6 linked regions of the Macaca fascicularis genome follow. The protein of the gene in region 1 interacts with the protein of each later gene in a pairwise test. Links are inferred from orthologs where the notes say so. Each region holds a gene or a part of one and is shown in the gene's direction. Other genes may lie near its edges.

Region 1 (4,795 bases):
TGAAAGAACGCCTGGCTTCCCTCTCCAGTCACGTGTCAGAGCTGGAAGAGGATCTGGACACTGCTAGAAAAGATCTCATCAAATCTGAAGAAATGAACACAAAATTGCAACGAGATGTCCGTGAAGTGAGCAATAACAAAAATTACAGGCTTGTCATGAAGTTGAATGTTTGGGAGGTTTTATTTAATGATTTTTTTTCTCCTTTTGTCCCTTGCTCTCCCAATTACTTTCAACCTTTGTATTATTATATAAGTTATATTGAAAAAGAAAGAGTGCTGTGAAACTGCGATAAGATACCTCCCCATTTTTGTTGTGAAATCTCCTGTCCCTGAGCGCTTCAAAATAGAGGAGAACTAGTACCACTGACTGATGTGGCCATGGAGTGGACGCCACACCAGCCCCTCCTACCTGTGCTGCTTTGATATTCTTTAATGTCCTTGTTTGTAGATTCTTCATCTGTGCAATTTCTAGGCTGTCTTAATTTGTTCTTATGTTCAGCAAGCAGACGTTGATCCTGGCTGTGCTAGTTCACGTAGGGCGATGTGACTATAGTCTGTTAACTGTGGGAAGGGGCGTTGCTGGCGGTCTTCTCGTTTTCTGACCTGCTCCTTCAAGGAACTCGTGGCATTGAATATTGATGGTCAGACAAATAATCAAGAGTGGAATTTGCTTCTACGTGGGTCATCAGGATCGTATAGTAAAAATATGTCGCAGTATACTCATTGCTGACAAGTATTTCTGCCATTATCACTATGAGAAACTATTTGATCATGGAACAGTGAGGCTGAGTTCTTTCTCAGGTGCCCTTCCTGTCACTTTCTAACCTGCGCTTTGTCCCTTGTCAGGCGCCTCAACCGTGGAACGTCTGCTTTTCAGTGTGATAGTTTGGCATGAGTAATTTCATGTAGGAATTCGCCACAGGAAGAGCATGTGTGTGTGCTGTATCACCTGCTAGGTTCTATTCTTTGGCTATAGCGGGAGATTATGTGGCAGAGATTAACATGCTGAGAATTTTGAAATTCTTTTAAGACCTATCACTTTTATTTTTTATTTTTTATTTTAACTTTTAAGTTTGGGGTACATGCTTAGGTCTGTTACGTAGGTAAACTTGTGTCCTGGGGGTTTGTTGTACAGATTATTTCATCATCCAGGTACCAAGCCTAGTACCCATTCGTTATTTTTCCTGATCCTCTTCTTCCTCCTACCCTCCAGTGTGTGTTGTTCCCCTCTGTGCGTCCCTGTGTTCTCATCATTTAGCTCCCACTTATAAGTGAGAACATGAGGTATGTTGTTTTTCTGTTCCTGTGTTTGCTAAAGATAGTGGCCGCCAGCTCCATCCATGTCTCTGCAAAGGACATGATCTCATTCTGTTTTATGGCTTCATAGTATTCCATGTTGTATATGTACCACATTTTCCTGATCCAGTCCACTATTGATGGGCATTTAGGTTGATTCCATGTCTTTGCTATTGTGAATAGTGCTACAGTGAACATACACATACATGTGTCTATATAATAGAACGATTTATATTCCTTTGGGTATATACCCAGTAATGAGATTTCTGGGTTGGTATTTCCATCTTTAGGTCTTTGAGGAATCTCCACACTGCCTTCCACAATGGTTGAACTAATTTACACTCCCACCAACAGTAGGAAAACATTCCTTTCTGTCCACAACCTCACCAGCATCTGTTACTGACTTTTCCATAATAGCCTTTCTGACTGGTGTGAGATCCTGTGTCATTGTGGTTTTGATTTGCATTTCTCTAATCAGTGATGTTGAGCTTTTTTCCCCTATGACTTTTAGTAGTCACTTTTAATAGTTATCACTTCGCTAACCTTAGTCATTTTATAAATAGGGAACAACTTGAAAATAGTGAATTCTGGGGGTGGAGGACAGGTATTTCACAAGCAAAAAGTTCTGGTCCTAGCCTTAAGTGTTTGATACTGTTTAGTAATCATCTTGCAGACTTCAGGTAGTTGCGTCCAATTAAATTGAACTTGTACTTCTGTTTCCATTTGTCAATATGCCTGAATCTTGTAATTGTATGAGATTTCATCTAACCCTTATCCTAGAAAGTGAGACTTGTATCTCACTACTGTATCCATTGAGAGAGGCCACACCCTGTCCTGTGTAAGACCATTTGTAGCGTGAGGCAGACACAGACTGCGTCGTCTTTGAGGTCACTTTCACCTCCTTGAAAAATATTTAGATATTTGAGTGTATATATGTTTATAATATTATGTAGAAATGGGAAAACTTGGTCAACTGAGTGGCTAGACATAGTATTAAGAGAGACAAGTCTTTGTTAATCGTATAGGTGAATATGATATTTGAGGTAGTTACATTTTCATTCACATTTGAGAAAATTGACGTCGTCTTCAATTTAATTTTGAGGACACTATTTTTTTTTTTTTTTGAGACAGGATCTCTCTCTGTTACCCAGGCTGGAGTGCAGTGGTGCCATCATAGCTCACTGCAGCCTTGAACTGCCGGACTCGAGCAATCCTCCTGCCTCAGCCTCCCAAGTACCTGGGACTACAGGGGCATGCCACCATGCGTGGCTAATTTTTGTTTCTTTAAAATTTTTTTGGCCAGGGATGCTGGCTCACGTCTGTAATCCTAACACTTTGGGAGGCCAAAGGAAGGCCAAGGAGGATCTCTTGAGCCCAGAAATTCAAGACCAGCCTGAGCGACATAGTAAGACCTCTATCTCTACAAAAAATTAAAAATTAGTGGATATAGTGGTATGCGCTTGTAGTCCCAGCTACTGGGAAGATTGAGGTGGAAGGATCCCTTGAGCCTGGGAAGTCAAGGCTGTGGTGAGCCCTGATTGCACCACAGCATTCCAGCCTAGGTGATAGAGGGAGACTGTGTCTCAAAAAATAAAATACAATATTTTTGTAGAGACAAGGTCTTGAACTCCTGGCCTCAAGCCATCCTCCCATCTTAGCGTCCCAATGTACTGTGATTATAGGAGTGAGCTGCTGTATCTGGCCTGAAGATGCTAATTTTTAATTTGATTGGAAATTTGGGATTTAGTTCAGTTTTTTTCTCTCTTAAGTATCTTAATGTGTAATCTGTTAATTACGTACTTTTTTGTCCCCTCTGAAATACTAATTTAGGCCATGGCCCAAAAGGAAGACATGGAAGAGAGAATCACTACTCTTGAAAAACGCTACCTCGCTGCACAGCGTGAAGCCACATCTGTGCATGACCTCAATGATAAACTTGAAAATGAAATTGCAAATAAAGATTCTATGCATCGACAGGTAATGGATTTTATCGATCTTTGTCTGGCTTCAGTTAATTATTAATGAAATTAAAGACCCTTTTTCTCTCACTTTCATGTTGGAAATCAAGTCCAAATATCAAGTTTTTATGACCTTAGAATATTATGTTCAAGATATGTGGGAGTTCCTTCAGTTTACAGGTTTTGATAACGTAGGATTTGATTTAACCATTTTGTCCTCAATTTTTTCTTTTGTTGTAATTGAAAGTTAATCTATTGCTTTTTAGCATTTTTACCAAAGGAGGAGAGAGTGGCAAAGAACTTCAAGGCAACTGGCTATTTGTTACTAAGTGGGAGCACTATGATAAATGAATGGTATGAGAAATAAAGTCTTGGTCAGACGCAGTGGCTCATGCCTGTCATTCTAACACTTTGGGAAGCTGAGGCGGGAAGATCACTTGAGCCCAGGAATGTGAGAACAGTCTGGTCAACATAGCAAGACCCTGTCTCTACAGAAAATTAAAAAAATAAATAATTAGCTCGGCATGGTGGAATGTGCCTTTAGCCCTAGCTACTCAAGAGGCTAAGGAGGGAGGATGACTTGAGCCTTGGAGTTCAAGGCTTCACTGTGCTATGATTGTGCCACTGGACTCCAGCCTGGGCCACAGAACAAGACCCCGTGTCTAAAATAAAAAATGCGGCTGGGCACGGTGGCTCACGCCTGTAATCCCAGCACTTTGGGAGGCCACGGCAGGCGGATCATGAGGTCAGGAGTTTGAGACCAGCCTGACTAACATGGTGAAACCCTGTCTCTACTAAAAATAGAAAAATTAGCTGGGCATAGTGATGCACATCTGTAATCCCAGCTGCTGCTCAGGAGGCTGAGGCAGGAGAATCGCTTGAACCTGAGAGGCAGAGATTGCAGTGAGCCAAGATTGCACCACTGCACTCCAGCCTGGGCGACACAGCTAGACTCCGTCTCAAAAAAAAAAAAGGCAATGAAGTCTATAGTAAGAAATTGTGTCTCCTGTGGTTTCGTTAAACCATACTTACTCTTGTAAGAGTATCACTGTACTCCAGCCTGGGTGACAGAGCGAGACTCTGTCTTTAAACAAAAAAAAAAAGTTTCTTAGAAGTTATTTAGGAAGAGCAAATACTTTGGCAAGAGGTGTTTTGCACATTGAAACGAAGCCCAGGAAAGTGGGCATGTACTCCAGGCAACAGGAAAATTTGACCCAGGCCAGGCACAGTGGCACACACGTGTAATCCCACCACTTTGGGAGGCTGAGGCAGTTGGATCACTTGAGGTTAGGAGTTCACGACCAGCCTGGCCAACATGCCAAAGCCCTGTCTCTACTAAAAATACAAAAATTAGCCAGGTGTGGTGGCACATGCCTATAATTGCGGCTACTCAGGAGGCTGAGGCAGGAGAATTGCTTGAACTCGGGAGGTAGAGGTTGCAGTGAGCCGAGACTGTGCCACTGCACTCCAGCCTGGGTGACAAAGCAAGACTATCTCAAAACACACACACACACACACACACACACACACACACACACACAC
Region 2 (4,795 bases), on another chromosome or scaffold:
CCCTCTGCATCAATTGTGATCAATCAGAGCAGTTCTGCTGCCCGGGGACATTTGGCAGTGTCCAGGGACATCTTTGATTGTCACATCTTGGGGGGAAGAAATGTTGCTGGCACAGAGTGGGTGGAGGGCAGGGATGCTGCTCGGCACCCTGTAGTGCCCAGAACGGCCCCACCACAGAGAGCAATCTGGCCCCAAATGGTGATAGCACTGACGGGGAGAAACTGTGAAGTACACGTCCCATGGTCACCTCGGGGACAATCCGGGAGCAGTCAGAGTGAACTTCCAGGAGGTGGTTGGCCAGACAGAGCCAGCCTGGCAAGACAGCCCCCACAGATCCCTGGCCTCTCGCCCCGGCTGCAGGCATCGTGGGTAGTGATTACATCAATGCCAACTACGTGGATGGCTACCGGCGTCAGAACGCGTACATTGCCACGCAGGGGCCGCTGCCCGAGACCTTTGGGGACTTCTGGCGTATGGTGTGGGAGCAGCGGTCGGCCACCATCGTCATGATGACGCGGCTGGAGGAGAAGTCACGGGTGAGCCTTGGACCCCACGGCCCTCAAGCCCTCGCCAGCCAGCCTGGCCCTTGCTGACACCTATTCTGTTGCCTGGTCTAGATCAAGTGTGATCAGTACTGGCCCAACAGAGGCACGGAGACCTACGGCTTCATCCAGGTCACGTTGCTGGACACCATCGAGCTGGCCACGTTCTGCGTCAGAACATTCTCTCTGCACAAGGTGAGGCCCGGGCTGGGGGCTGAAGGTGGAGGAATGTGTTGGAAGGGAGGCAGAGGGCCCCAGCTTCTACCCAGGGCACTCCCCATAGGACAGAGAGAAAGCCAAGTGTGTCTACCCAGACTGACTTCATTCTCGTGGAACCCACTTCCGTGGAGGGGGAAACTGAGGCTCAGAGAGAACACTGCTTGTTTCCACCCACGGCAGGACAAAGCTGGCAGAGCCCAACTCAGCAATGAGCCTGATTTCCTCTTGCCTTTACTCATGCCCCAGGTCCTCTTTGCCCACTGTCCTCTGGCCTCACCCAGCTTGAGCCTATGATGGGGCCTCAGCAGGGCCCCAGCCCTGTCTTCAAGGAGTGTCCAGACAGAGATGGACAGATACTAGCAGCCCTGTGAAGTCAGGGCTGGGATGGAGAAGATCTTTTAGATACGTATTTAACTGATGGCTGCTGTCCATAGTGTGGTTCCATCTGTTTTTCTCCATCTGTGGTTCTGAATTAGGACAATTCTGCCATCCAGGGGACATTTGTTACTGTCATAATGGGGAGGGGAGGCGCTACTGGCACCATGATGTATCCCCAACACCCAGCCAGGTCATTGCACCATCAGGCACCTGCTTGATCTAAGTACCAGAAAACTGAGTACATGGACAAGAGTGAGTGAGAATTCTTGGTTCAATCACACACATTAAACACGTGTTATGTCTCACTCGCTAACCTGGACACAAGCACACAACAGGGACCTAAACAGATAAAACGTTCTGCCCTTGGGGGACTTAACAGTCTAGTATACAAGACACAGACCATGACTGAAACGTCAAGAAAGCTTACGTGTTGGAGAAAAATAGGGGAGAAAAACAGTGTCAGGGACCTGGAAGAGGGTATGATAGGGAAATTTGGGAGAAGAGCATTTCAGGTGAGAGGGTGTAGCCTACGCAGAGGCCCTGGGGCAGGACCGTGCCTGGCGTGTTAGAGGAACAGCAGGGAGGGCAGGATCCTGTGGACCTTGGGGAAGACTTGGGCTTCGACCGTGTGGAAGGCAGGAGCCATGGAGGGCTGTGGACAGAGGAGGGACCAGATCTGACTCAGGCACTCAGGTGCCCTCTGGCTGCTGCAGGGAGGACAGACTGAGGGGTTTGGGTGGGAGCCAAGGTCTGGGGCAAAGAGGGTGGTGACAGTTCTAGCCCAGGTTGGCCTCCATGGAGAAGAGCAGGTGGATCGGGATAGACTTTGAAGGCAGAGCCGACAGTCCTGGGTGAGGTGTTAGATGTGAGAGGGGAGAGTTAAGGGTGACTCTCAATCTGTGGCCAGAGTGCCCAGAAGGTTGGAGCCATTGGAGCCACCTTCAGCTAAGATGGGGGAGCAGGGTTGGGACGAAGGCCAGATACAGTTGACCATGTTGTGTGAAGAGTCCACAAGACTCTACTTGGAAACATCCAGGGGCAGCTAGAGCCCACGTCAGGCACTTAGAGACGTGGAGACTGGGAGGTGCAGACATGGGCATTTTTTTTTAGATGGAGTTTCGCGCTTGTTGCCCAGGCTGGAGTGCGATGGTGCAGTCTCCGCAATCTCCACCTCCTGGGTTCAAGCGATTCTCCTGCCTCAGCCTCCCGAGTAGCCGGGATTCCAGGCATGCACCACCACGCCCAGCTAATTTTGTATTTTTAGTCGAGACAAGGTTTCTCCATGTTGGTCAGGCCAGTCTCGAACTGCTGACCTCAGGTGATCCACCCACCTCGGCCTCCCAAAGTGCTGGGATTACAGGCATGAGCCACCGGGCCCAGCCATTTGGGCATTTTCAGCACATGGGCGGCAGGGTGAGCCAGAGTGACGGGTGACATTCTTGTGGTCCCCAGAATGGCTCCAGTGAGAAACGCGAGGTCCGCCAGTTCCAGTTTACGGCATGGCCAGACCACGGCGTGCCCGAATACCCAACGCCCTTCCTGGCTTTCCTGCGGAGAGTCAAGACCTGCAACCCACCAGATGCCGGCCCCATCGTGGTTCACTGCAGGTACGTCCACCCCGCTCTGCCCCATCTGCTTCCCCCGGCCCCCGCAGCCCAGCAGCCCCTGAACTCCACGTGGCTGTCCCCGCAGTGCCGGTGTGGGCCGCACAGGCTGCTTTATCGTCATCGACGCCATGCTGGAGCGGATCAAGCCAGAGAAGACAGTCGATGTCTATGGCCACGTGACGCTCATGAGGTCCCAGCGCAACTACATGGTGCAGACAGAGGACCAGTACAGCTTCATCCACGAGGCCCTGCTGGAGGCCGTGGGCTGTGGCAACACAGAAGTACCTGCACGCAGCCTCTATGCCTACATCCAGAAGCTGGCCCAGGTGGAGCCTGGCGAGCACGTCACTGGCATGGAACTCGAGTTCAAGGTGCCAGCGGGGTGGAGGCTGCCGTGGGCAGGGTGGGGAGGAGGCCCAAAGAGCCAAAAACCAGGCTCGCCCCGAGCGATGGGGACTAGAAGGTGGCGGCGGGGTGCCCCTACCTACCTATCCACCATTGGTGCTCCAGCTGAACGCATAGCCTTCCTCATCCTAATGGTGGCCCTTGGCCTCCTCCTCCCCACAGCGGCTGGCCAACTCCAAGGCCCACACGTCACGCTTCATCAGTGCCAATCTGCCTTGTAACAAGTTCAAGAACCGCCTGGTGAACATCATGCCCTATGAGAGTACACGGGTCTGTCTGCAGCCCATCCGGGGTGTGGAGGGCTCTGACTACATCAACGCCAGCTTTATTGATGGCTACAGGTAGGTGTCACGCCGTTCTCACCTCGGGGCCCCAGAAGGACCCCATCTCTGCTTTCAAGAGGCCCCCAGTCTTGTGGGAGACAGAGCTGGAAAGATACTGGCAGTCCTGAGCTGTTTAAATACACATCTTTAGATGTATATTTAACCGATGGCTGCTGTCCATAATGTGATTCCATCTGTTCTTCTATATCAGTGGTTCTCCACTGGGGTAATTCTGACACCCTGGGGATATTTCTTATTGTCATGGTTACTACTACTGGCACTGACTGGGGACACCAGCATCCTACAGTACATAGGACAGCTTGTCCCAGAGAACACTCCAGTACCAAATGTCAATAGCACTGAGATTGAGAAATCCTGGCAAGAGAGGGGAGGGCGTTCCGGGCAGAGGGTGCCACACGTGCGAGGGCCCGGAGCTGAGAGCCGGGCCCGTGGAAGCAGCTGAAAGTAGGGCAGTGGCCCTTGAAGGAGGTGGAGGGGAGAAATCAGGAGAGGTTAGTGGACAGTCCCACAGCTTTGTCAAGGGATTTGAATTTGTCATGAGGCTGGTGGTTTCCCCGCATGCAAAACGGGATCACCAGGAGGGGATGTGGTGCACCCGGCATCCATTCCTGGCAGGCAGTTGGGGTGGTGGGTGTAGCTGTTGCCGGCTTGGTCCTGACCCTCCCGGGGCAGCATCAGGTGAGGACCACGCTGGGTCTCCCCGCCAGCCCTGGGCTCACACACCCCATGCCTGCAGGCAGCAAAAGGCCTACATCGCGACACAGGGGCCGCTGGCGGAGACGACGGAAGACTTCTGGCGCATGCTGTGGGAGAACAATTCGACCATCGTGGTGATGCTGACCAAGCTGCGGGAGATGGGCCGGGTGAGCCAGGGACCGCGGCGGGGAAGGGCGAGGACCAGACTGTGGCTCAGACAGCACTGACCACGGCCACCCTCTCCTCTGCAGGAGAAGTGTCACCAGTACTGGCCGGCCGAGCGCTCTGCCCGCTACCAGTACTTTGTGGTAGATCCGATGGCGGAATACAACATGCCTCAGTATATCCTGCGAGAGTTCAAGGTCACAGATGCCCGGGTGAGTCTAGAGACAGATTGGCGGAAGGGGCTGGAGTCAGGCTGGGCCCCACAGGCTGTTGCCTTAGTGATCTGGAAAGGGCTGCCCTGTTTGGTGATGGATACGAAGGCCGAGGGTAAGGGATGAGCGCTAGGAATCAGGAGAAATGTTAGCGGACCAGTTGGCCACTTGCTCCTACCACCACATAGGTGGAAGACAGGGTCTTGTCTCTGTGCTGACCCTGTAGT
Region 3 (5,512 bases), on another chromosome or scaffold:
CTCTGCATATCCCCTGATTTCTGGGTCCCTTTTCTTCTACTTGCTTGTTGCTCTCCTTGGTAACAATCATCACTGAGTTTTCGAGCTAGTTTAAATCGCTACCAGTGGTGTAAGATGATATTTCCTCAACTATGTTCCCATATAGCAGTCAGATTTACCAGCTGGGTTCTTCTTAAATGAGGTCAGATTCGCAGGCAGAGGGATACATTTCTTTCCCACAAAAGTAACAGCAAAGGAATATTAGGGGTTTTAAAACTTTCTGTTTCTCTAACATGCAACTTTGGATGATGAAAGTGGGATTGCCAGTTTATGGGGGCGCATGTGGCAATGAGAAAGCCAAGTTGGAGTTTACATCTTGGGTGGAATCACCTGTGGGGAGGCTGAGATTTCTGGATCCATCCTTAGGTCACAGGGGGCAGGTGTCCATCATCCCTGCACAGCTTTTCAACTGCTGTGAAATCAGAATGATTGGAGGGTAAACCTAGCTTGGAGGCTTGCACAGGAATTGATTTCTTCCTGATTTTCACTATGACGCTAACCATAAAAAAACAAAAACAAAAAACCAAGAGACAATCATGCAAGGATGCTCCTCCCCCACCCCCAAATTGCTAGAAAACTGAACTTCGTTTAGCGAGATTCTTTTCAAAAATATGTGACTTATTTTTGGAGTACATAGGGGGCAGAGGATTACTGACCAATCCTTTGGTGGCTTTCAACAGCACAGCATGCAGATGGTGGAAATAAATGGGCAGCTTGAGAAAACAGTCAGGATGCTGGATCATTAAGTCAAATCTAAGGGGGTCTGTTTACGTTTGCTCTTTCAAAGACAGCCTGGAGTCTACAGGAATAAGTATTGTGTGTATGTGCTGGCCTGAACATAGAATGAGCAATCGAGGTGGCTGGTGAGCTCTAGCTTTACTTTATTTAACCGTTCTGACCAAGTTTCTAATAAATTTTGATGGGCCAACTGCCAATGGTGGCTTCCAGCTGCTGACTTTTTCCACATGTTGGAGATCCTGTGAGTAGCGAAGAAGGTTAAAATCCATCTCTTAGCTAACAACACACACAGTGCACCTTAGTCACCTTGGGTTGTGTGGATGAGAAGTGCATAGCCCAACAACTGGGTGCTTGTCTAGGGAAGAGGGTGTTATAGTGTCCTTCAGAGAAGCTGAGGAGCACTGCATTTCCAACATCATAAAAGCAAGTGGCACGATAGCAAAACAAGTTATCACACTAAGATTTTGGTTCAATACTTCCCTGCCTTCCTCGTTGCCTTCAAAGTGGATCCTACAAGCATTCCCGAAGGAGGCTGCCAAGGTGAACTGGGGCGGACACAAACTGTGTTTCATTAAAGCACGTTCCTTATATTATTATCACTGCTGTGAAGAGGGCGCGACCAGCATTTTTTCCTCCTTTGCGCTGGGACGCAGAGCAGGAAGCGCCCGGGTGTGCATCTCTTAGGAGATGAGTGAATCTGTTAGAGAGGGTCTTTTCTGGCCTGGTGGATGAATGCTGGGGAGTGACGTCACCCCGCCCCCTCCTCTGGTGGGTGTGTGTGTGTGTGTGTGTGTGTGTGTGTGTGTGTGTGTGTTTGTGTTGCCTCCTTCACCCACCACTCCTGCCTGCCCCTCCTTCATCCAGCTCTCTGGCCCTTTCAGTGGGTCAGTGGTCCAGATTCAGGGATTCGCCAGCAGGCGCAGCAGGCCCAGCTCTCCCCGCGTCCGGGCGCACCCACACTCACACTCACGCGCAGGCAACGCGCACACACAATCCCCCAGCGCTGGAGCACAGCAATACCGTGGGATCCCCAGCACGTTACGAGGATTTTAGAAATCACCCAGACAAGGAAACAAAGAGAGAAGCCTTTCCAATTACTTTCCTGGGCTTTTTTGTTTAATTTCCCCCACCAAACCACCTCGTCTGCAGCCGTAACTACCAGGTTCACGCCAGGTCCAAAGACTGGGCTGGGCTGGCCACCCCACCTCCCGGCCCTTGACTCTGTTCGGGCCCTTTCCCAGGCGTCGCCTCGCACCCCTCTCCCCCCACGAGCCTCAGTTTCTGATTACCTCGCGTGCGCTTCACTTTTGGGGGGAAGAAGAGAAGAAGGGGAGGGAGGCACCGAGGGGGGCAGCCGAGTTGCTATTTGTGGCCAAAGAATCCGCTTTAAAAGAAGAGGCAGCAGGAAGGAGGAAACAGGAGAGGCGGAGGGAGGAGAGGAGACGCGGCCCCGGACCCCCCAGCCGCGAGCGGCGGAGCATCGAGGAGCGGGAGGAGGAGGAAAAGGAGGAGGAGGAGGGAGAGGAGACAAACGGCGGCGGCGGCGGCGGCGGCGGCAGCGGCAGCGAGAGAAACGGGCGCCGGGCGAGCAGGAGGAGCGAGAGGAGGAGAAACCGCCGCGGAAGCCGCGGGCTCAGAAGGGCCAAGAGGACGGCCCGAGAAGAGGAGGAGGAGGCGGAGGAGGAGGAAAAGGGGGTAGGGGTGGAGGGAGGGCGGGGGGACGCGCTCCCTTGGATGCTGGATTTCGGGTTTTTGGACTCACTCGCTGACTCTCTTCCACTTCCTCGCTCTGGACTGGGCTGGCCGCACGAGGGCTGGGCGGCGGCGGCGACCAGAGGGGCTTCCGCGGCAGCGGCCGCTGCTCCGCGGGATTAAATTGGCCGCCCGGAGGCGGCGGCGCGGGCCGGCGCCGGCTGCGCGGCCGTGGCAGGGCGCGAAGGCGCTGGAGGAAAGTGCTGGTGGCGGCGCGGGAGGCGGTGGCGGCTGCTGCCCAGAGCCAACATGACCAGGTAAGTCCCTGGAACTGACCCCGTCCGCCCCGCTGTGTTCTCCCCTCTGGCTGCTCGGGAATCGCCCTGCGCGCAGCTCCGGCTGCCGGCGCCTCCCCGGCCAGAGCGACACGCTCCCGCTTCCGCGAGCCCGGCGCCCGGGCAGCGGAGCGCACAGTTTGCTCCTCTGAACCTCCTCGGGCAGAGGTCCTCCCCTGCAGGGTTCACTTCTCGCCTGAAACCTTAGACCCGGGAGAGAGGCGACTCTAGAGAATGAGGGTGTCCGGGTATGTGTATTTGTGCGACCCCCGCTTTCTCCTCCTAGGGTGGGCGTAGTATTTGGGGGGGAATGGTGGAGCAGTGGGGCAATGCACCCTTACCCAGGGATCCTGCCACCGCCTTTTTTAAAGGCAAGGATTACTGTTTTAAGGAGGGCTGATTACGGTGAGGGGGCGATTTCTTTTTCTTTCTTTCCTCTGAACTAGTGGGGAGAAGGAGAAATAACAGGAATCAAAGTCTACGCAGCTGCCATAGAGGAGGGGGATTGTTTGGGAGACCTTTCCGTGGCAGAATCAAAGCTCGTAGTTCAGCTGCGGGAATCTGGTGCACTTAACACACACATTCATTCCGTAGGGAAGGGGACGCATCATTTGTAATGAAGAGGCAAAGTTGTAGGAAACAATTTAAAAAGAAAGCCACGAACAAACCAAAGATTTTTTGCTTTCCTATAGATTTATTGTAGCTTTTATGTAGGTGTGTAGAAAACTTGCATTGCTTCTCTGGACGTTGAATTTCATTTAAAAACACAAACATGTGAAGTCAGTTTTTAAGTCTTATGCTTAAAATCTCGAACACCAAGTGTGAGCTTGGCTTTCACTAATTGGGTGTTTCAGAATTCCAGATAGTAGTTCCATTCTCCAAAACCAGGACTATCACAATCCACTTGTATTGTTTCCAGTTCGCCTCCCAGTACACTACTTGCCAAATGTCTCTTGTTTTCTAAAATTCTCAGAGTAACCCCCCAGCCTCATCTACAGTTTGCACCTTAAGTATCTAGGAAGATTCCTGAGGGATCGTTCTCCTTGTATTTCCTATTAAAGTTATATATATATATACACATGTATTTACATGCCCAAAGACACAGTGCCAGTGACTTAACAGAGTGTAGCTAACACATTTTGAACCTCTGAAAGGCTAGTAACTGCTTATGACTTGAGATAGATTTGCTGTTAGATTTACTGAGCTACAAATGTGGACTTTACCCTTTGGTGTGTTCTTTTCTAACCATCCTGTAGCACGTCTGTGGGGAGTTAGTTCAATCACAGATACTTCTGACCATTTTGAGTATTTTTTCTCTGTTTCAAAGTGCACACACCAACCACTCAACTTGAGTAAAACAAGGATGATATACCAAGACTTGAAACATTCTGATGTAAAGGGATCTGTAGATGATAATAACTTAAGATTAAGTTGTATATGTAATATAATAATATCCAGTAAAAGGCTTAGTATCTTTCTTACTTTGAATATATATTCTGTTTTATGCTACAGACACTATAGCAAAAAGAGAACACATTTTCAGTGCTCCGTGTCTGACTTACGGAAACAGACATCCTAAATGGACAGTAAAATTTTCCCTACCTCCCACATTCCATAATTATGTACTGTACTTTGCTTTTCAATGGAGCTAGCAATTCTGTGGCAGATTTCTTAAATTCACCCTCATGCTATCAGCTATTATTGTACTTTCAAAGTGTGAAATTGACAAGCTGGTCAGTTTCATGAATTCAGCTGTCAGATTGTGTCCAGTTAAAAATTGCTAAAAGCTGTAAATGTGCCTGCCTGGAATTTTCTTTTGTGAAGGAAGGACAGCAAGGGGATGGGGGATTAATGGGTGTTATTAATTGTAGATCTTTTAAAATAGGTGCACTCCAATGTGAGTTGTATCACTGGCTGTTATTGGGAAATACGTTTAGATTTTTACTCCTGTAAAAGTGGCATTCAATTTTTATCTGTATCTTATTTTAAATAGTACTTTACACAGAAATCATCTGTTCTTATAGCGCTTAGTAATATATAATAGGAATAAGATTCAAAGAGGAACAGTGTCTCTCTCAAATATATTTTAATATAGTTGAGTAATGTATTACTTTTGCATGACATGTAAAGAGGTGGATGAATTAAACGTTTCATTGTGTAGGTTATGTAACACAGATTCTTCTTGGGCCAGAGCAGTTGTGCAGTTACTCAAGTAATGAAATGCAGCAATTTATTTTAATATATGTGCATTAGAGTAGATAACCATAGATGTAAAACTGCTTAAAGTATTAAATACAGTGATTTGATTTGCCTTTTAAGATGGACTCTTATTTAAATCCAGAATATCTCAAAGTCTGGAACTAAGAATTGGAATCCCCTCATCTGCTGCTATTTGCTAAGCCACTAGGGGCCTGTATAACTGTTCTTATATCCAGGAGGTATCCTGGTATGGCATATGCAAAGCCTTCCTAGAGAGACATTAAAAAAAAAAAAATCACGTAGGCATTCCCCCCAAGTTTTTGTTTTTTCCTTTTTAATACATTAACTCATACTCTGATGCTAGTTGTAGACAATGATTGAAGACTATTTCAAGAATTTTATTTAGGGCTTCTCTGACACTATGATTTTCATATAGAGTGTGAAAAATAGAAAAGAGAAAAGGTATTGGTGCAAATTCATATGTGATTCCAGTTCTCAGTGTATGGCAA
Region 4 (5,529 bases), on another chromosome or scaffold:
TGCCTCAGCCTCCCAAGTAGCTGAGATTACAGGGATGTGCCACCACGCCCAGCTAATTTGTATTATTAGTAGAGATGAAGTTTCGCCATGTTGGTCAGGCTGGTCTCGAACTCCTGACCTCATGTGATCTGCCTGTCTCAGCCTCCCAAAGTTCTGGGATTACAGGCGTGAGCCATCGCACCTGGCCCCAGTGTGTAGTCTTTTATCCCTCATTCCCCTCCCATCTTTTCCCTCTGAGTCCGCAAAGTCCATTGTATCATTCTTTTTTTTTTTGAGATGGAGTCTCGCTCTGTGCCCAGGCTGGAGTGCAGTGGCACAATCTCCACTCACTGCAAGCTCCGCCTCCCAGGTTCACGCCATTCTCCTGCCTCAGCGTCCCATATAGCTGGTACAACAGGCGCCCGCCACCACGCCCGGCTAATTTTTGTATTTTTAGTAGAGACGGGGTTTCAGCATGTTAGCCAGGGTGGCCTCGATCTCCTGACCTCGTGATCCGCCCGTCTCGGCCTCCCAAAGTGCTTGGATTACAGCCGTGAGCCACCGCGCCTGGCCCATTGTATCATTCTTATGCCTTTGCATCACAGGTTTATTCTTCTCTTTTTTTTGGAGATGGAGTCTCGTTCTGTCGCCAGGATGGAGTGCAGAGGCACGATCTTGGCTCACTGCAACCTCCACTCACCGGGTTCAAGCGATTCTCCTGCCTCAGCCTCCCGAGTAGCTGGGACTACAGGCGCGCACCACGCGCACCACCATGCCCAGCTAATTTTTGTATTTTTCATAGAGAGGAGGTTTCACCATGTTGGCTGGGATGGCCTCGATTTCTTGACCTCGTGATCTGCCCACCTTGGCCTCCCAACGTGCTGGGATTACAGGCGTGAGCCACCGCACCCTGCCTAATTTTTGTATTTTTACTAGAAATGGGGTTTCACTATGTTGGTCAGGCTGGTCTCAAACTCCTGACCTCGTGATCTGCCCACCTCGGCCTCCCAAAGTGCTGGGATTACAGGTGTGAGTCACCGCACTTGGCCACAGGCTTATTCTTTTTGTCGTCATTGTTGTTGTTTTGAGACAGTCTTGCTCTGTCGCCCAGGCTGGAGTGCAGTGTTGTGATCTCGGCTCACTGCAACCTCTGTCTCCCGGGTTCAAGTGATTCTCCTGCCTCAGCCTCCCAAGTAGCTGGGATTACAGGCGTGCACCACCACACCCAGCTAATTTTTGTATTTTTAATAGAGACAGGGTTTCGCCATGTTGGCCAGGCTGGTCTCGAACCTCTGACCTTAGGTGATCCACCTGCCTCAGCCTCCCAAAGTGTTGGGATTACAGGCGTGAGACACCGTGCCTGCCTGGCTTACATTCTCTCTTAATCCTTTGTTTATACACGTCTGTGATCCACCAGACTGCGAACTCTTTGTGGGCATGAACTGAGTCTTATCCATTAGAACATTGACTTGAGCAGGGTGGCAAGTAAGGGATGGATTTCCTCAGACACTCAACAATGAAGCTGCTTTTCCACTGTGTTCCCAACTGCTGAAATCTAGTTGTTCCCCAATCCCAGTACACTTGCAGTAGGAACGGGGACCCTCTTCCTAAAGTTACACCAAGCCAAGGATTCTCATCTCATTTCGACCAGGTCCTAGCCCTGCCAGGCTTCCCCTTTGCTCCTCTGCAACTCCTGTCTAGGGAGGCGGGTGTCTTGGAAGGTCCTTGGGAGCTCCCTCCATCAATTTTGCATCCGCAATTAGCGTTACTTTACCCCGGTGAAGAAAGGTGCCCTCCGTATTAGGGCTTCCTTCCTCCAATTCCGACTATACAGGGTAGCATAGTAGGCAAAGTGTGAGAGCCCCTTTAGAAGGAAAGAGCAGGGCTCCAAGCGCCGCGAAGAATGGCCGAGGCCGACGCACAGCAGACGCTGGAGTGCAGCAGTCCTAGCCAAGCTTGGGTTTCCCTTATCCCCGCCTCCTTCGCTAAGCTCGACCCACTTTAGGGCGGGACCACCCACTTCAGCCAATTCTGGAAGCCGAACCCTGGCGGTTTGTACTATTTCTTTCCAATAAGAAAAAAAGGAAGCAGCTTGGCTCCAATGACCAATCCGAGGAGGCGGCGCCTGGTTGTCAGGCAGTTTTGTAGGAGTTCGGGCCAATTGGAGGCGCAGGCACCGCTCGACCCGGGCGCTGCGCGCAGGCGGTGGCGAAGAGACGCCGAGCGGGCCGAGTGCGGCCGAGCAAAGCCGGAGCCGGAGCGGGGCCGCAGGAGACGGGCCGGGTCCGGACGGGCCGAGATGCCCTATAAACTGAAAAAGGAGAAGGTGAGCGTGGCCCTTTTTCCCGCACCGCCGCCTTGGAGCCTGCGCGGAGCTCTGGGAGGGGCCGGAGCCAGGCCCGGGACGGCCCCAGACTGACCCTCCCGTCCGGCCCCCGCAGGACTCCTGGGGCCAGCCCTACGCCCCCGCGACTGGCAGCACCCCCAGCTTGTGCCGCAGCTAGGACAGCTCCCCCACCTTGCCCGGAGAGACTCCCCCCACATACACCTCCCTCCCTTCTTCCCTTCTCTTACCCCCGGCCCAGGGTAACCTCCTTCTTCCAGATCTGCCCCATTCCCAGGTCACTGTCCTGCTTTTTCTGTCCCCCCATCACCCCTGGCCCCGATGTCCCATCGGTTTGGGCAGCCCCTCATCTGAAACTGCACGTTCCTCCAGAATTGCCCCCTCCCCCCGCCCTGAGCAGCCCCTTTCCTCTTCCTACCCGCCTGGGACAGCCGCCCCACAGTCCCCTACGGCCCCTTCTCTTTCCATGCCAAGCCCCTGACCTAGAACAGCGCTGCTTTCTCTCTCCTCCACCCAAATCTGGCCTAGGCCCCTCCCTCTAGTTCTTCCTTCACACACAAACTTGTAAGCAGGACTGAGCCCTTCTGTTGATGGAACCTTACAACGACGGTGCTGTAAGGGACCTCTGAGCGCATGCAGTGCAATCCCTAATGGTACAGATGAGGAGACTGAGGCCCCGACAGGGCAAGGGACTTGTCCAAGGTCACACAGACTTCTGGAGGCCCAGCTGCAATATCAGGTCTCCTGACTTAAAGGCCTCTTTTGTATCAAAGCCCTCCTAACTGGCTCCCAGGTGCATCCTAAACCAGTCACCTTTCCAAATCTGAGAAGGCTCCACATCCTTATTCCTAATCCTAGGATAACCTTTGCATTTTTCCTTTTTTTTTTTTGTTTCTTTTTGCACCGGTGCTGAATTTCTGCCTTTCCTGAGCTACACCGTCTTCAAATTGGGAATTTGCGCTCGCTGTCAGATTATTGTTTCTTCTTAGCCTGCAGGCCAGCCACCCCTGAACACCTATGTCTTTGTCATGATGTCCTGACACAGGCCATTTCTTTCTTTCTTTCTTTCTTTCTTTTTTGAGATGGAATTTCGCTTTTGTTGCCCAGGCTGGAGTGCAATGGTGCGCTCTCGGCTCACCACAACCTCTGCCTCCCAGCTTCAAGGGATTCTCCTGCCTCAGCCTCCCAAGTAGCTGGAATTACAGGCATGCACCACCACACCCAGCTAATTTTGTATTTTTAGTAGAGATGGGGCTTCTCCATGTTGGTCAGGCTGGTCTTGAACTCCTGACCTCAGGGGATCTGCCCGCCTTGGCCTGCCAAAGTGCTGGGATTACAGGTGTGAACCCACAGGCCAGTTCTTAAATGTTGCTTTCTTTCACCTTCTTCTTCTACCTTGGTACCGCCTTCCTCTGTTCCTCATCCGTGCCTTTTTCTACCCTCTGTTTCCTGCTGTTGCTGAGGTCTGACTCAGAGGTGTGGTTCCTTTGAGGTACAGACTCACACAAAGGATGCTAGGATACCAGTTCCAGCCTCCCCCAGCTTCTCCTCTCCTGGGGCTGGCCCTTTTTGGTGGGGGCTGGCTCTGGCCTGGTGTTCTGGCCACCTGCTTGATGACCCCAGAGGTATATTGCTTTCATTTGCCCTCTGATTGGCTGGGTTACTGGGCTGCCATCTCTGACCTTTTCAATCATACTTTTTCTCCTGGGGTTGTTCTGTATTTGCCAGGCAGCTCTGATTCTGGGTTGTCCCCTTAACTTTTCAGGGCCTGAGGTTCTACGTACAGGGTTGGTGATGGTGTACCACATGGTGAGCCTTCTGGGGGTAGTGAGCTGGACAGGGTTGTGTGCCCCACCCAGGCCCTGTCCTTGGGGAGTGGGCATGTGGAGGTGGTTTGGGTAGCTCAGTTGTAGACAATGCACACAGAAATCAACCACACCAGGGGCTAAGGGAAATGGAATTCGGAGAAAGCTGGTGAGGTCCCCACCCATTTGTAATTTTTAATCTGTTGGACTAGATACTGTCCCATCCCCAGAAAGCAATAGCCTACTAGTCTGTGAAGAAGACGACAAATTCCCAGTGAGACTTGCTAGGACCATGGGTGTAAGCGTTTGGTTGGGAAAAGGTGTTGGAAGGATTGGGGTGCGTGGAGCCAGGCATAACTCTCACCTCCCTATAAGGTTTTCTGCTCTTGATTTTCAGCTGCATTTGGCCTTCTTCAATGGTTGGCAGGCTCTGAGGGGGGTTGGCAGGCTCTGAGGGGGGTTGACAGTGTGACTGAGGTTTGCCTGGATGCCTGTGGGTGGAGGATCTTTAATGCTCTTCTGTGACCTGTCTCCTCTCTCCTGGCCATCTTTTACAGTTTCCTCTCTAAAGCGTTTCTGAGCCCTCAGTCAGGAGTGAACTCTCCTTTCTTTTCTGGATTTGCAGAGCACTTAGTAGGCCACTTACGGTCCTTTTGTGTTTGGCCTTGGATGGGAATTAATTGTGGACAAGCCTTTTCTTCCTCCTTGAGATAATAACTAAGTTTCATTTTGTTTGGCAACTCCTTTTCACACAGTAAGTAGGTGCTTAGTGGATAGGTGCTAAGATAATCTCTTGGAGGGATTCGCCTCTCTCCCCTTCCTTCATGTTCTCCTCTGGGACTTACCTCTTTTATTTTCCTGAGTAGGGTGCCCCTGCCCCCTCCGACTTTTTTCTTGTTAATAGTAATAGTAATAACATTGACCAGCACTACGGTTTTCATGTGCCTTAACACTGTGCTGAGGGAAGAGGGTACTAATATTGTCGTCATCTAATAGATGAGGAAACTCTCTCTGAGATGAGGCTTAGAGAGTCTAGTTAACTTGTCTATGATTATATAGCTAGTAAGAGTTGGGCCCAAAACACAGGGCTGGGTCCAAACATGTTCGTGTTTTTTTTTTTTGAGACGGAGTCTCGCTCTGTTGCCCAGGCTGGAGTGCAGTGGCACGATCTCGGCTCACTGCAAGCTCCACCTCCCGGGTTCACGCCATTCTCCTGCCTCAGCCTCCTGAGTAGCTGGGACTACAGGTACCTGCCACCACGCCCGGCTAATTTTTTTTATTTTTAGTAGAGACAGGGTTTCACCATGTTAGTCAGGCTGGTCTTGAATTCCTCACCTTGTGATCTGCCTGCCTCGGCCTCCCAAAGTGCTGGGATTACAGGCGTGAGCCACCGTGCCCGGC
Region 5 (5,548 bases), on another chromosome or scaffold:
CAAGCTATGAATTTCCCTATTACTCTTCTAGGAAGAATAGGTTCTATCTGGTTAGCTGGTTTGTTCTTGTTTGAAATATCTTCATTTAGTAGCAGGGAAATTGTGATTTAAAACTAATGGAGTTGGGAGGCCCAGGAAGGTGGATCACTTAAGGCCAGGAGTTCTAGACCAGCCTGGCCAACATGGTGAAACCCCATCTCTAATAAAAATACAAAAATTAGCTAGGCGTGGTGGCATGAGTCTGTAGTCCCAGCTACTCGGGAGACTGAGGCTGGAGAATGGCTTGAATCCAGGAGGCGGAGATTGCAGTAAGTAGAGATTGTGCCACTGCACTCCAGCCTGGGTGACAGAGCAAGACTTTGTCTCAAAAAAGAAGAAGAAGAAAAAAACCTAATGGAGGTGTGAGTGGGGGTAGAGGGGAATTGGCCATGTATTGATAATTTTTGAAATATATTTCTCTGTATTCTTTATATTTGAAATTTTCCATAAATAAAGTAAGTAAAAATAATAGAAGTGAAGAGAAACACCTGCTGCTTTTTAGTTGAAACTAGAAATGGAAATAGGTAAATGCACAAGTTCTACATTCCAGTGTGCCTCCTGTGGTAGCAATAGCAAAGAAACACTTTCGCACATCAGGCTAAGTAGGAGACCATCACAGCATCCAGTCTGCTTACTTTAATAAAAAAAATCATACATGAGCCTTAATGTTAGGGCATCAGCAACAATTGTATTCTGCAGACAGTTAATTTAGACACAGCCCAATTCCTACTACAACTGAAAAATAAGATCAATGTCAATTTTCATGAACTAAAATTTGTTCAAGGTTTAAAAAAAGTTACACCAGCAATGCCAAGTTTTTCATATATTTTTCCTAAGTGACATTCAGAAATTTTACTCATATCCCTGTAGAAATCATAGTCTGCCAACTCTTTTAAATGCCTATTTCTATTTTCCTTTACATAAAACTAAGGAGTTGTCAAATATCTTTCAGAAAAACAAAATGAAAAGAATTTATATGATATATATAACTGTCATGAGTCTAATACTTTATATAGACATTTAATTATCTAGATCACTTATTTTCCTATCTTTTGTACCATTAATGTTTTTCTCCATTAAATTATTCTTTCCCCCATATGCAACATTTTAGGTTGTTCACAATTCGTTGTTATCAATTTGCCATGCCCTTCAATCTTCTCTTTCTCTTTTTCTCTCTTAGCCAATTTACGACACCAGATTAGCCACATATGTTGAGTGTGTGGATCGCCAAAATTATAAACCACAAATGGCATAAGTTTGAGGAATTCAAATAACTCTGGCAAACTCTAACCTCAACTGCACCCAACAAAAATGAACAAGAAAAGACTTTCCCTATCTTAAGCCTCTAAAAACATTTTCATAGAAAGCAGAGTTAAAGCCATCCTGCCACTTCTTTTTAGGCTTTTCAAGACCTAAATTCTCTAGGTCTCATCATCTTTCTCTTTCTATTTATTTATTTATTTAGAAAAGCTATTTGCCATAGGGAAATTTGGATATATAATAAATACATGAGAGAATAAGGTATGCCTAAATGGGACACTTCAGAATCAACATAAATTTTGGATCTCACCTGCAATTTTGAAAGTCCTATTAATTTAAAAACTAGTAAATACCTTAATATTCATGATAGCTTACTGTAAGATTCCCTAGAGGCAATGAAGATGGGAATCTCAAGAAAACTAAAACTACCATACATCTTGGCTTCAGAGGTGAAAATAGGGGGAGAGGATTGGCTAGTTATCAACAGAAGGGAAAGTGCTTTTTGCACAGAGAAAGAATAGACAAGGCAACAAAAGTGGCAAACTGTAAGGGCCAATACACATCCACTGCTTCAAGTTTTTCAGCCATGTTCCATTCTCAGAGATTTCTGGTAGTACTTCAAGAACACCGATCTCCAAACTCCTCCTGAAAAGGGCTAGGAATGCTTCTGCCTGAAGATCTTACCTATTCTTTCTGGGCCCCATGATCTCCCTACATGATTGATCAACCTACTATTTCAACTCGAAAAAGCCTTTTCACAAATGTCAACTTCAGTGAGGCCTCCATTTAAAAATGAACACCCTACCAAGTCCTTTCCTAATTTCTGATTACACCCTGTGAATTTACATCAACCTACCCCACACCCTCAGTTTATGCCTCTTTTGAACATTCCTGCCGGGCTTCTCCTTTAAATCTTGCCTGGAAGGGGCGGAGCTATGTCCCAGGCTCACCGGGAGGAGCGTTCCGTAGGCTCCGCCCACCTACGTCTCAGAGGGCGCCCCAACGAACCCTGGATAAGGTCTCTTCCTAGTCCGCTCCGGAAATGCGACTGCGTACGCGCTGGACACGCAGTCGTGACGTCAGCGCGCCCGCGCCGGCTGGCCGGACGCCCTAGGCTTCCGCGAGATCTTAGGTGGGGGTTCGGTTGCTTTACGCCACGGCACTGCTGCGGTTGGGTTGTCACCTGTAGGCTGTCTGGACCTGGTCACGATTCCACAATGTACCACAACAGTAGCCAGAAGCGGCACTGGACTTTCTCCAGTGAGGAGCAGCTGGCAAGACTGCGGGCCGACGCCAACCGCAAATTCAGATGCAAAGCGGTGGCCAACGGGAAGGTGAGGTTTTCCCGACGGTTGCCCAGTTGCTTGGTCACTAAATTCTGAGCAGCTGCGGGAGCTCTTCTGGCTCCCAGGACAGTCTCACTCCCTCATTTCTCTGCCTCTGCGGCGCGGAGTGCGTTTATCTATTAAAATAAGCGAGCACCTCGCGAGGTTCCGTGGGTACAAAGACGAACAACGCCATCCCCGTGGTCGAATGGCAGACAAGTAACCAGTCTTTGTAACGTGGTGAAGAAGAGAGTAGGTAGTGTGCTAAGGTAGTGCGTGGCAAGAGCCGTTCACTTGTCAAGCGGTGATGTTGGGGAAGGTTTTTCCCAGTAGCCAATGCGGAGAAAATGGGGAAAGGACGTTCCAGGCAGTCAGAACTACCGTGCAGAGTGGGAGGGAGGTCAGAAGTTACAGGGCTGGTGCGTGGACGTGTTTGTGGTCGTATGTGGCCGAATGTGAGTACCTGTACAGGAATGGCTGGGGAGGGTAGGAAGGGAACTTGTTTGTAAGTGGAAGTGAGGCGTTTGAAATTTCCATTGAAAGGATGAGGAACCTTTGAAATATTTAAAATGGGAAGCTAACCTTATCAGATTTCCGTTCTGGAAACAGCGCTCTAGCAACCTCGTGGTGAATGGGTTGGATGAGGCGGGAGACCGGCGACGGAATACAAACCAAGTGACTAAAGATAAGGTTTGGACTGTGGCCCGCTAGCCAAGTCCCTTCTGTTACAGCTCTAGGACTGGTTTAATCTTTCTTACAAGCTCCACTCCAGCAAGTGTTCAGTGCCTCCAAATTACTGACACTGAATTACTTTACTTTCTACCTTTAATTCACATCACTGATTTTAGCACCTGAATTAGTTTCCTTAAGGGCTGCCTTAAAAAAATCACCACAGACTGGGTAGCTTAAAATAACAGAAATTTATTGAAACATTTGCTGTTTTTTTACAACTTGTGTCGTAATGACTGACCGAGAAACGAATGTTGGAAGCTTTCCAATCATATTTGTAAAAAGTCTATCTACTTTTAAATTTGTAAATAATGATATCACAGCTGTGAGCATATGCACATAGCCTATCGTGATTGTTTATATAATGAAGCAAAGGTCTAGCTGACATTCCGAAAAGTTGTGAAATGATGGTACAGTTTTAGTTTATTGTTTTCCTACAGCTATTTTGTGTAATGATTAGCGAATCTATAAAGAAAACGAGGCGTGATATATTCCCCTTCGTTGGAGATATAAACTAAATTTAATCTGGATAGAGAAAAATGTTTTACAATTGTTTAATTCATTGAATTCATTGAACTTGTGTTGTAATTGTTGATCTAAAGGTTCTTCCGAATGATCCAGTCTTTCTTGAGCCTCATGAAGAAATGACACTCTGCAAATACTATGAGAAAAGGTTATTGGAATTCTGTTCGGTGTTTAAGCCAGCAATGCCAAGGTCTGTTGTGGTAAGTTACAGTAGTGATGAAATATAATGTCCTTTAGTTGACTTGTGAAATTTGACCTCTTCTAAATTCCCTGTCCACTCTAGTCTTAAAAATTCACGTTAGTTACAATTAATTAGTTTTTGGCACATTATATCTTTTTCAGTTCAGGCCTTAACTCTTGAATTGCTGTATCATATCTTCAAAAGTATTTCAAGTCTCATTTTGTGGTCAGAAAAAAATTTGAGGTCAGGTAATGTTATAAAGAAAGAAACAAAATAAATTACTTTCCTCTAAGTTCTCAACTAGTGAGCCATAGAACTGGGACTAGAACATAGACTACTTGCTTTTCCAACTCTGTGACACCCAATAAATGTTTGAAGTAATGCATTCTTTCATAATTGGTAATCATATGCCCCAGCTGAAACTGATACCATAAGATTTTTTTAAGCCTTAATTAGTAGAAGCTGGAGTTTTATCTTTGGTTAAAAAAGATTGTCTTATTGCTTCAGATGTATGGTTCTGAGGACCTGTTTGTTTTTTGCTGGGGTGGGCAACCGTGAGGAGAAACAGGTAGCTGAGATTAAAAAGCAGAAAGATAAAAAAGCTAGAGTGGGAGGGTGTTTAAAATGTCTTTACGTTATTCTCTCACAGGTTTGTTGCAAAGAACAAATATAGAAGTGTATCTTAAGTAAAAGACTGTTAAATTTTAAAGTTATACAGTGTGACTAGCTTACGACCGAGTAGAGAATAATCTTCTGGGAAATTATCTCCATTTTTATAGTTGAAAAAAATTTGAAGTATGTTGAAAATATTAAGTCCATAGAATTTATAATTTTTTTTTCATCTGAGATATCAAAGATTCAGAGAGAGTTTTAGGTATACTTGATTAGTTTATATCTTCAGATTTGGTTTATTCTTACAAAAGAACTAAAATGAGGCAGTAAATTTAAGTGATCTTATCAAATGAAGAAAAAAATCCTTTAATGAACTTCTTTATGGAATTTATTTTTAAATAACATGTTTATCATTGGTGAATAATTTTTTGTTATACATAATGACAAAACTAAACTTTTAAAATACTTAAAAGGAAATATTCTTTTTTCTATCATAAAATAGATTAGTGGTTATTTCATTGGTTCCAGCCAAATGATATAATGGTTAAAAGTACAGGCAGGTCTTACTTGAATTCATTCCTGTTCCTTATTAGCTGTGTGACCTAGATAAGTCAGTTCACCTCATTGATACTCAGTTTCCTTCTCTGTAGAGATAGCAATATTTCACCAAGCTGTTGTAAGGGTTAAAACATGATGATAGTTTTGTGCTTATCACAGAGTCTGGCACTTGGTATGCATTCAGTAAATGGTAGTGCTGTTTCTGCCATTCAGTTGGCAGCAGTGATCACAAATCATGGGAATGGATACAAAACAATATCACAAATATGTAGTGGCTTTAGAGAGAAGGCTTATTGCCTTGCTCATTATTTTTATAAGA
Region 6 (4,795 bases), on another chromosome or scaffold:
TACAGCCTGGGCAACAGAGTGAGACTTGGTGTCAAAAAAAAAAAAAAAAAAAAATGCAGACTTGTGGCATAGAAATACACTTTCTCGGCCGGGCGTGGTGGCTCACACCTATAATCCCAGCACTTTGGGAGGCCGAGGCGGGTGGATCACGAGGTCAGGAGATGGAGACCATCCTGGCTAACACAGTGAAACCCCGTCTCTACCGAAAATAAAAAAAAAAATTAGCCGGGTGTGGTGGTGGGCGCCTGTAGTCCCTAGCTACTCGGGAGGCTGAGGCAGGAGAATGGCGTGAACCTGGGAGGCGGAGCTTGCAGTGAGCCGAGATCGTGCCAACTGCTCTCCAGCCTGACTCCGTCTCAAAAAAAGCAAGACTCCGTCTCAAAAAAAAAAAAAAAGAAATACACTTTCTCAATAATACCTTACGTTAGAGAATGCTGCTTATAACCATTTGACATGTATTAGTTAAGGTGAAGGATAAAGTACTAAGAGAATCCATAATGCACTGGCGTCAGTATTTCTTAATGAAATGACAGTCCCCTGGTAAGTGGAGGAGGCCTGGCTCTGACAAGCAGCTCTTGTCCCAGAGGTTGGTCAGTCAGGAACCTGGGTCCTTCCCATGTTCTGCTGCTTCTATAGTGAGGTCAGTCTGTGGTTACAGCAACTTTAAATACAGCCTTCTAACTTTCCTTTTTATATGTAAAATCTTATCTGTAGTTTCTGGAATGAAATTATTATACATGTACCATTTCGTAACTTATGCCTTTTTTCACTTTACATAACGTTTTTCCCTATCAGTATGTGTAGGGCTATTTTCTCATCATATGGATATATCAGTGCCCTAGTTAAAGCATTTGAGGTTGTTTACAATTTTTCATTATTACATATAGAACTATAGTGAAAATTCTTGTTATATTTATCACTGGTCAGTTATATAGAACTTATCTGTAGGATAAGTAATGGAAGTGAAATGGCTAGGTCACAGTATATGCAGATTTTTCATTTTAATAGATTTTGCTGGATTGCCTTCCAGTAAGGGGGCAGTGTGCCTGCCACATCAAAAGTGTTGAGTGCCTAATTCTACACAACTTCGCAAACCCTGGGTGTTACTAAATTTTAACAGCTTGGTCTCTGGGGGTACAGAGGGGACAAATGCACATTAATCTGAAATCTGGAAGAATAGGCCTTAGGAGATCCGACTTGCTTCAGAACGGCACTTACATGTGTGCATGTGTGCCTGCATTTTTTCTTTTTTTTTTTTTGTGGGGCGGGGGGACAAAGTGTTGCTCTGTGGCCCATCGCCCAGGTGGGAGTACAGTGGCGCAATCTTGGCTCACCACATCCTCCGCCTCCCAGGTTCAAACGACTCCTCTGCCTCAGCCTCACAAGCAGCTGGGACCACAGGTGCACACCATCACGCCCAGCTAATTTTTGTATTTTTAGTAGAGACGAGTTTCACCAATATTGGCAAGGCTGGTCTCGAACTCCTGACCTCGTGATCCACCCACCTCAGCCTCCCAAAGTGCTGGGATTACAGGCGTGAGCCACCGCGCCTGCCATGTACCTGCATTTTTGTAGGGGGAGAATCTCACTTGATGTCACCTGATATACAGGGGGGTCCATTGGAACCCGCATTGCACAACATCCTGGAGCCTGGCTACTCCTCACTTTGGGAGCAGGGAGGGCTGTTGGCAGAGACCATCTGTGGACTAGCTGGGGGACCCTTGTGAGGTAGCAGTGGATGATGGTTCTAGGGCTGACTTCTCTGCCCAGGAAGAAGGTGTGCAGCGGGCCCGGGAGGAGGAGGAGAAGCGCAAGGAGGTGACCTCACACTTCCAGGTGACACTGAATGACATTCAGCTACAGATGGAACAGCACAATGAGCGCAACTCCAAGCTGCGCCAAGAGAACATGGAGCTGGCTGAGAGGCTCAAGAAGCTGATTGAGCAGTATGAGCTGCGAGAGGAGGTAAGGGTATCACAAACAGCAATCATGGCCCAGAAATTGTGAGGTTTTTGAGTGTGTGCTAGGCACTGGGACAGTACCTTTTCAGGCTTCCTCCCATTCTCCCTTTCTTCCTCCTCCTCCTCCTCCTCTTTGGGAGGAGAGTAATGTTATTCCTCATAGATAAAGAACAGGTGGGGAGAAGAGACTGACAGCCACACAGCCCCACGTCCACAGTGCCTTATCCCAAACGACTAGGCCAGGTATCTTTTGGAATTAGAACTATCCACATTTTAGAATGGAGGCACATATGTGGACTGTGTGTTATATAGCACCCTCAGCAGGGCCTTGGGGAAGCCAGACATGTTAATGTTTATGCAGTAGAACTTCCAAATACTCACCTAGATTATGGGCTTACAATGATGCAGGTCAAGTTTGGCTGCCAGCTTATGACAATTTCCATTTTCAGAGCTTTGTAGAATTTGGAATTGCAGAGGAGGGGCTGTGCCTGTGATCAGTGATGGACTCCAGAGACTGTGTCCACTGATTCCTTGCTGCTCCTGCCACTTAAAAGGCAGGATTGGCCGGGCGCGGTGGCTCAAGCCTGTAATCCCAGCACTTTGGGAGGCCGAGACGGGTGGATCACGAGGTCAGGAGATCGAGACCATCCTGGCTAACACGGTGAAACCCTGTCTCTACTAAAAAATACAAAAAAACTAGCCGGGCGAGGTGGCGGGCGCCTGTAGTCCCAGCTACACAGGAGGCTGAGGCAGGAGAATGGCATAAACCCGGGAGGCGGAGCTTGCAGTGAGCTGAGATCGGGCCACTGCACTCCAGCCTGGGCGGCAGAGCGAGACTCCGTCTCAAAAAAAAAAAAAAAAAGGCAGGATTATTAGGCCTGCGTGGTGGCTCATGCCTGTAATCCCAACACTTTTGGAGGCCAGAGCGGGTGGATCACCTCAGGTCAGGAGTTCAACACCAGCCTGGGCAACGTGGTGAAACCCTGTCTCTACTAAAACTACAAAAGAATTAGCCAGGTATGGTGGTGCACGCCTGTAGTCCCAGCTACTCGGGAGGCTGAGGTAGGAGAATTGCTTGAACCCAGGAGGCAGAGGTTGCAATGACCTGAGATTGTGCTACTGCACTCTAGCCTGGGTGACACACCAAGACTCTGTCTCAAAAAAAAAAAGCATGTCATTCCCTTTGTCACTGTTGGCTGCCACGCCAGGCACTTGAATCTTTGGGTCTTCCATCCAGTCACCTGGCTGTTGTGGGCGCGTTCTCATCATGAGAAGGGAGACCTGGAGCCCCCTTACAGGGCTGGCAGAGGACCTGCTCTGGAATAGGCCCTTTCCTAGCCCCTGGGGTGTGGCAGTGGTGAGATGGGCAAGATTTGCCCTCTTAGATTCATAGGCCAGTGTGATGATCGTGTGTGCAGGACCTAGAGGGCACTCCCCTGACCCACCCCTTTCCTTGCCGGACTTCATCCTCTGGGAACAAAGCAGCTTGTTTGGTTTGAGGGGAGTTGGTTTGGTTCTTATCCCTCAGCACTGAGACATAGAGGCTTCCTGGGCCACTATAGTGAGACACGAACTTCAAGAATCTGAATACCCCCGTTTTCTCTCCCCACCAAGGCAGAAAAGGATTTAGTATTACCTGTGGAGAAGGAGTTGCAGGACTACCAGGCCCTGCTGCTTTGCATTTACAGCCCTCCCCAGATAGACACAAGCACTCTCATCATACCCAAACTGGACTTACCTGCAAGGCTCCTTCCCTTCCCCATCCAAAAAAATGGAGTTATTTTCCCTTATTTCAGCAAGTCCAGTTGATTTTACCTTTGAAGTAGCACCTGAATCCTTCACCTTCTCTCCATCCCTTCTCTCTCACCTGACATAAGTCCCCAGTGCTCCTCCAGTAGGCAGGACAGCCATTCCTTAGGGATGCACATGTCTAGTCTTTGCCTAGATATGGCAAGTCTTTGCCTACTGAGCTAGGCTGTCATGTTCTTAGAAGCATTGTTTTTGCCCATTCTTCCCATTTACAAGAGAATCAGGGACACAGAAGTGAGGGCTTCCAACCCCATAGGTGATCAATCCTGGGGTCAGAGATTTGAGTGTGTTTATTGCTTGGCTTCTTGGGAGCAGATTCCATCCATAAACCATGTACTTACCAAAGTCTGACTCACTGGGAGAGAAACGAGGTGAGCTTGGAAAGATGACCTTCCAGAGACTTGGGGCCCATGTTGTGTGGTACACATGGGAGTCCAGCATATCAGATTGAGATGGGGGGCTGGGCAAAGTGCCCTGGTCTTTGGCTGTGGGGCCACCCTGAGAAAAGGAGCTCCTGACAAGCTGACGGCTCCCACCATCTTTGCTGCAGCATATCGACAAAGTCTTCAAACACAAGGACCTACAACAGCAGCTGGTGGATGCCAAGCTCCAGCAGGCCCAGGAGATGCTAAAGGAGGCAGAAGAGCGGCACCAACGGGAGAAGGATTTTGTGAGGCTTAGGCCCCAGGGTTGGGATGGGGGTGTGGGAGGAGGCAGGTTGGGCTGTGGCTCAGTTCATAGCCGGGTTATATGGGAGAAGTTGTCTGGCCAGACCAGGCACAGATTCCTTGAGTATCAGTCTGAGAGCAGGAAACCTTGGTGGGTTTGGTGCTTGTGGCTAAAAACCAAACATAGCCCCTGGGGGCTTCTGACAGCATCTGGGGTTCTGTCTTGGAAATAGCTCCTGAAAGAGGCAGTAGAGTCCCAGAGGATGTGTGAGCTGATGAAGCAGCAAGAGACCCACCTGAAGCAACAGGTGAGAGCATATAACCTGACCCTGTGCCTTCAAGGTCCCCTCACTGGGC

What was found.
Region 2: the proteins of PPFIA1 (region 1) and PTPRS interact in a two-hybrid assay, tested with the Homo sapiens proteins (2 studies listed by BioGRID). The link is inferred for Macaca fascicularis from reciprocal best matches to the Homo sapiens genes PPFIA1 and PTPRS.
Region 3: the proteins of PPFIA1 (region 1) and PTPRD interact in a two-hybrid assay, tested with the Homo sapiens proteins (2 studies listed by BioGRID). The link is inferred for Macaca fascicularis from reciprocal best matches to the Homo sapiens genes PPFIA1 and PTPRD.
Region 4: the proteins of PPFIA1 (region 1) and PPP2R5D interact in binary tests that used the Homo sapiens proteins (3 or more experiments, as listed by UniProt). The link is inferred for Macaca fascicularis from reciprocal best matches to the Homo sapiens genes PPFIA1 and PPP2R5D.
Region 5: the proteins of PPFIA1 (region 1) and CCNH interact in binary tests that used the Homo sapiens proteins (3 or more experiments, as listed by UniProt). The link is inferred for Macaca fascicularis from reciprocal best matches to the Homo sapiens genes PPFIA1 and CCNH.
Region 6: the proteins of PPFIA1 (region 1) and TXLNA interact in binary tests that used the Homo sapiens proteins (3 or more experiments, as listed by UniProt). The link is inferred for Macaca fascicularis from reciprocal best matches to the Homo sapiens genes PPFIA1 and TXLNA.

The regions. Positions count from the first base shown.
Region 1 is NC_088388.1:4,341,818-4,346,612, reverse strand, and holds part of PPFIA1 (liprin-alpha-1), read left to right. Parts: coding exon 1-125; intron 126-3,125; coding exon 3,126-3,272; intron 3,273-4,795. UniProt on the Homo sapiens protein: May regulate the disassembly of focal adhesions. May localize receptor-like tyrosine phosphatases type 2A at specific sites on the plasma membrane, possibly regulating their interaction with the extracellular environment and their association with substrates.
Region 2 is NC_088393.1:5,985,621-5,990,415, reverse strand, and holds part of PTPRS (receptor-type tyrosine-protein phosphatase S), read left to right. Parts: intron 1-360; coding exon 361-536; intron 537-617; coding exon 618-737; intron 738-2,591; coding exon 2,592-2,746; intron 2,747-2,831; coding exon 2,832-3,117; intron 3,118-3,313; coding exon 3,314-3,492; intron 3,493-4,231; coding exon 4,232-4,358; intron 4,359-4,442; coding exon 4,443-4,568; intron 4,569-4,795. UniProt on the Homo sapiens protein: Cell surface receptor that binds to glycosaminoglycans, including chondroitin sulfate proteoglycans and heparan sulfate proteoglycan.
Region 3 is NC_088389.1:90,156,347-90,161,858, forward strand, and holds the start of PTPRD (receptor-type tyrosine-protein phosphatase delta), read left to right. Parts: upstream 1-2,194; 5' UTR 2,195-2,786; intron 2,787-5,512.
Region 4 is NC_088378.1:128,544,167-128,549,695, reverse strand, and holds the start of PPP2R5D (serine/threonine-protein phosphatase 2A 56 kDa regulatory subunit delta isoform), read left to right. Parts: upstream 1-2,189; 5' UTR 2,190-2,278; coding exon 2,279-2,305; intron 2,306-5,529. UniProt on the Homo sapiens protein: The B regulatory subunit might modulate substrate selectivity and catalytic activity, and might also direct the localization of the catalytic enzyme to a particular subcellular compartment.
Region 5 is NC_088380.1:91,395,440-91,400,987, reverse strand, and holds the start of CCNH (cyclin-H), read left to right. Parts: upstream 1-2,406; 5' UTR 2,407-2,516; coding exon 2,517-2,633; intron 2,634-3,955; coding exon 3,956-4,078; intron 4,079-5,548. UniProt on the Homo sapiens protein: Regulates CDK7, the catalytic subunit of the CDK-activating kinase (CAK) enzymatic complex. CAK activates the cyclin-associated kinases CDK1, CDK2, CDK4 and CDK6 by threonine phosphorylation.
Region 6 is NC_088375.1:202,837,607-202,842,401, reverse strand, and holds part of TXLNA (alpha-taxilin), read left to right. Parts: intron 1-1,770; coding exon 1,771-1,965; intron 1,966-4,320; coding exon 4,321-4,440; intron 4,441-4,671; coding exon 4,672-4,746; intron 4,747-4,795. UniProt on the Homo sapiens protein: May be involved in intracellular vesicle traffic and potentially in calcium-dependent exocytosis in neuroendocrine cells.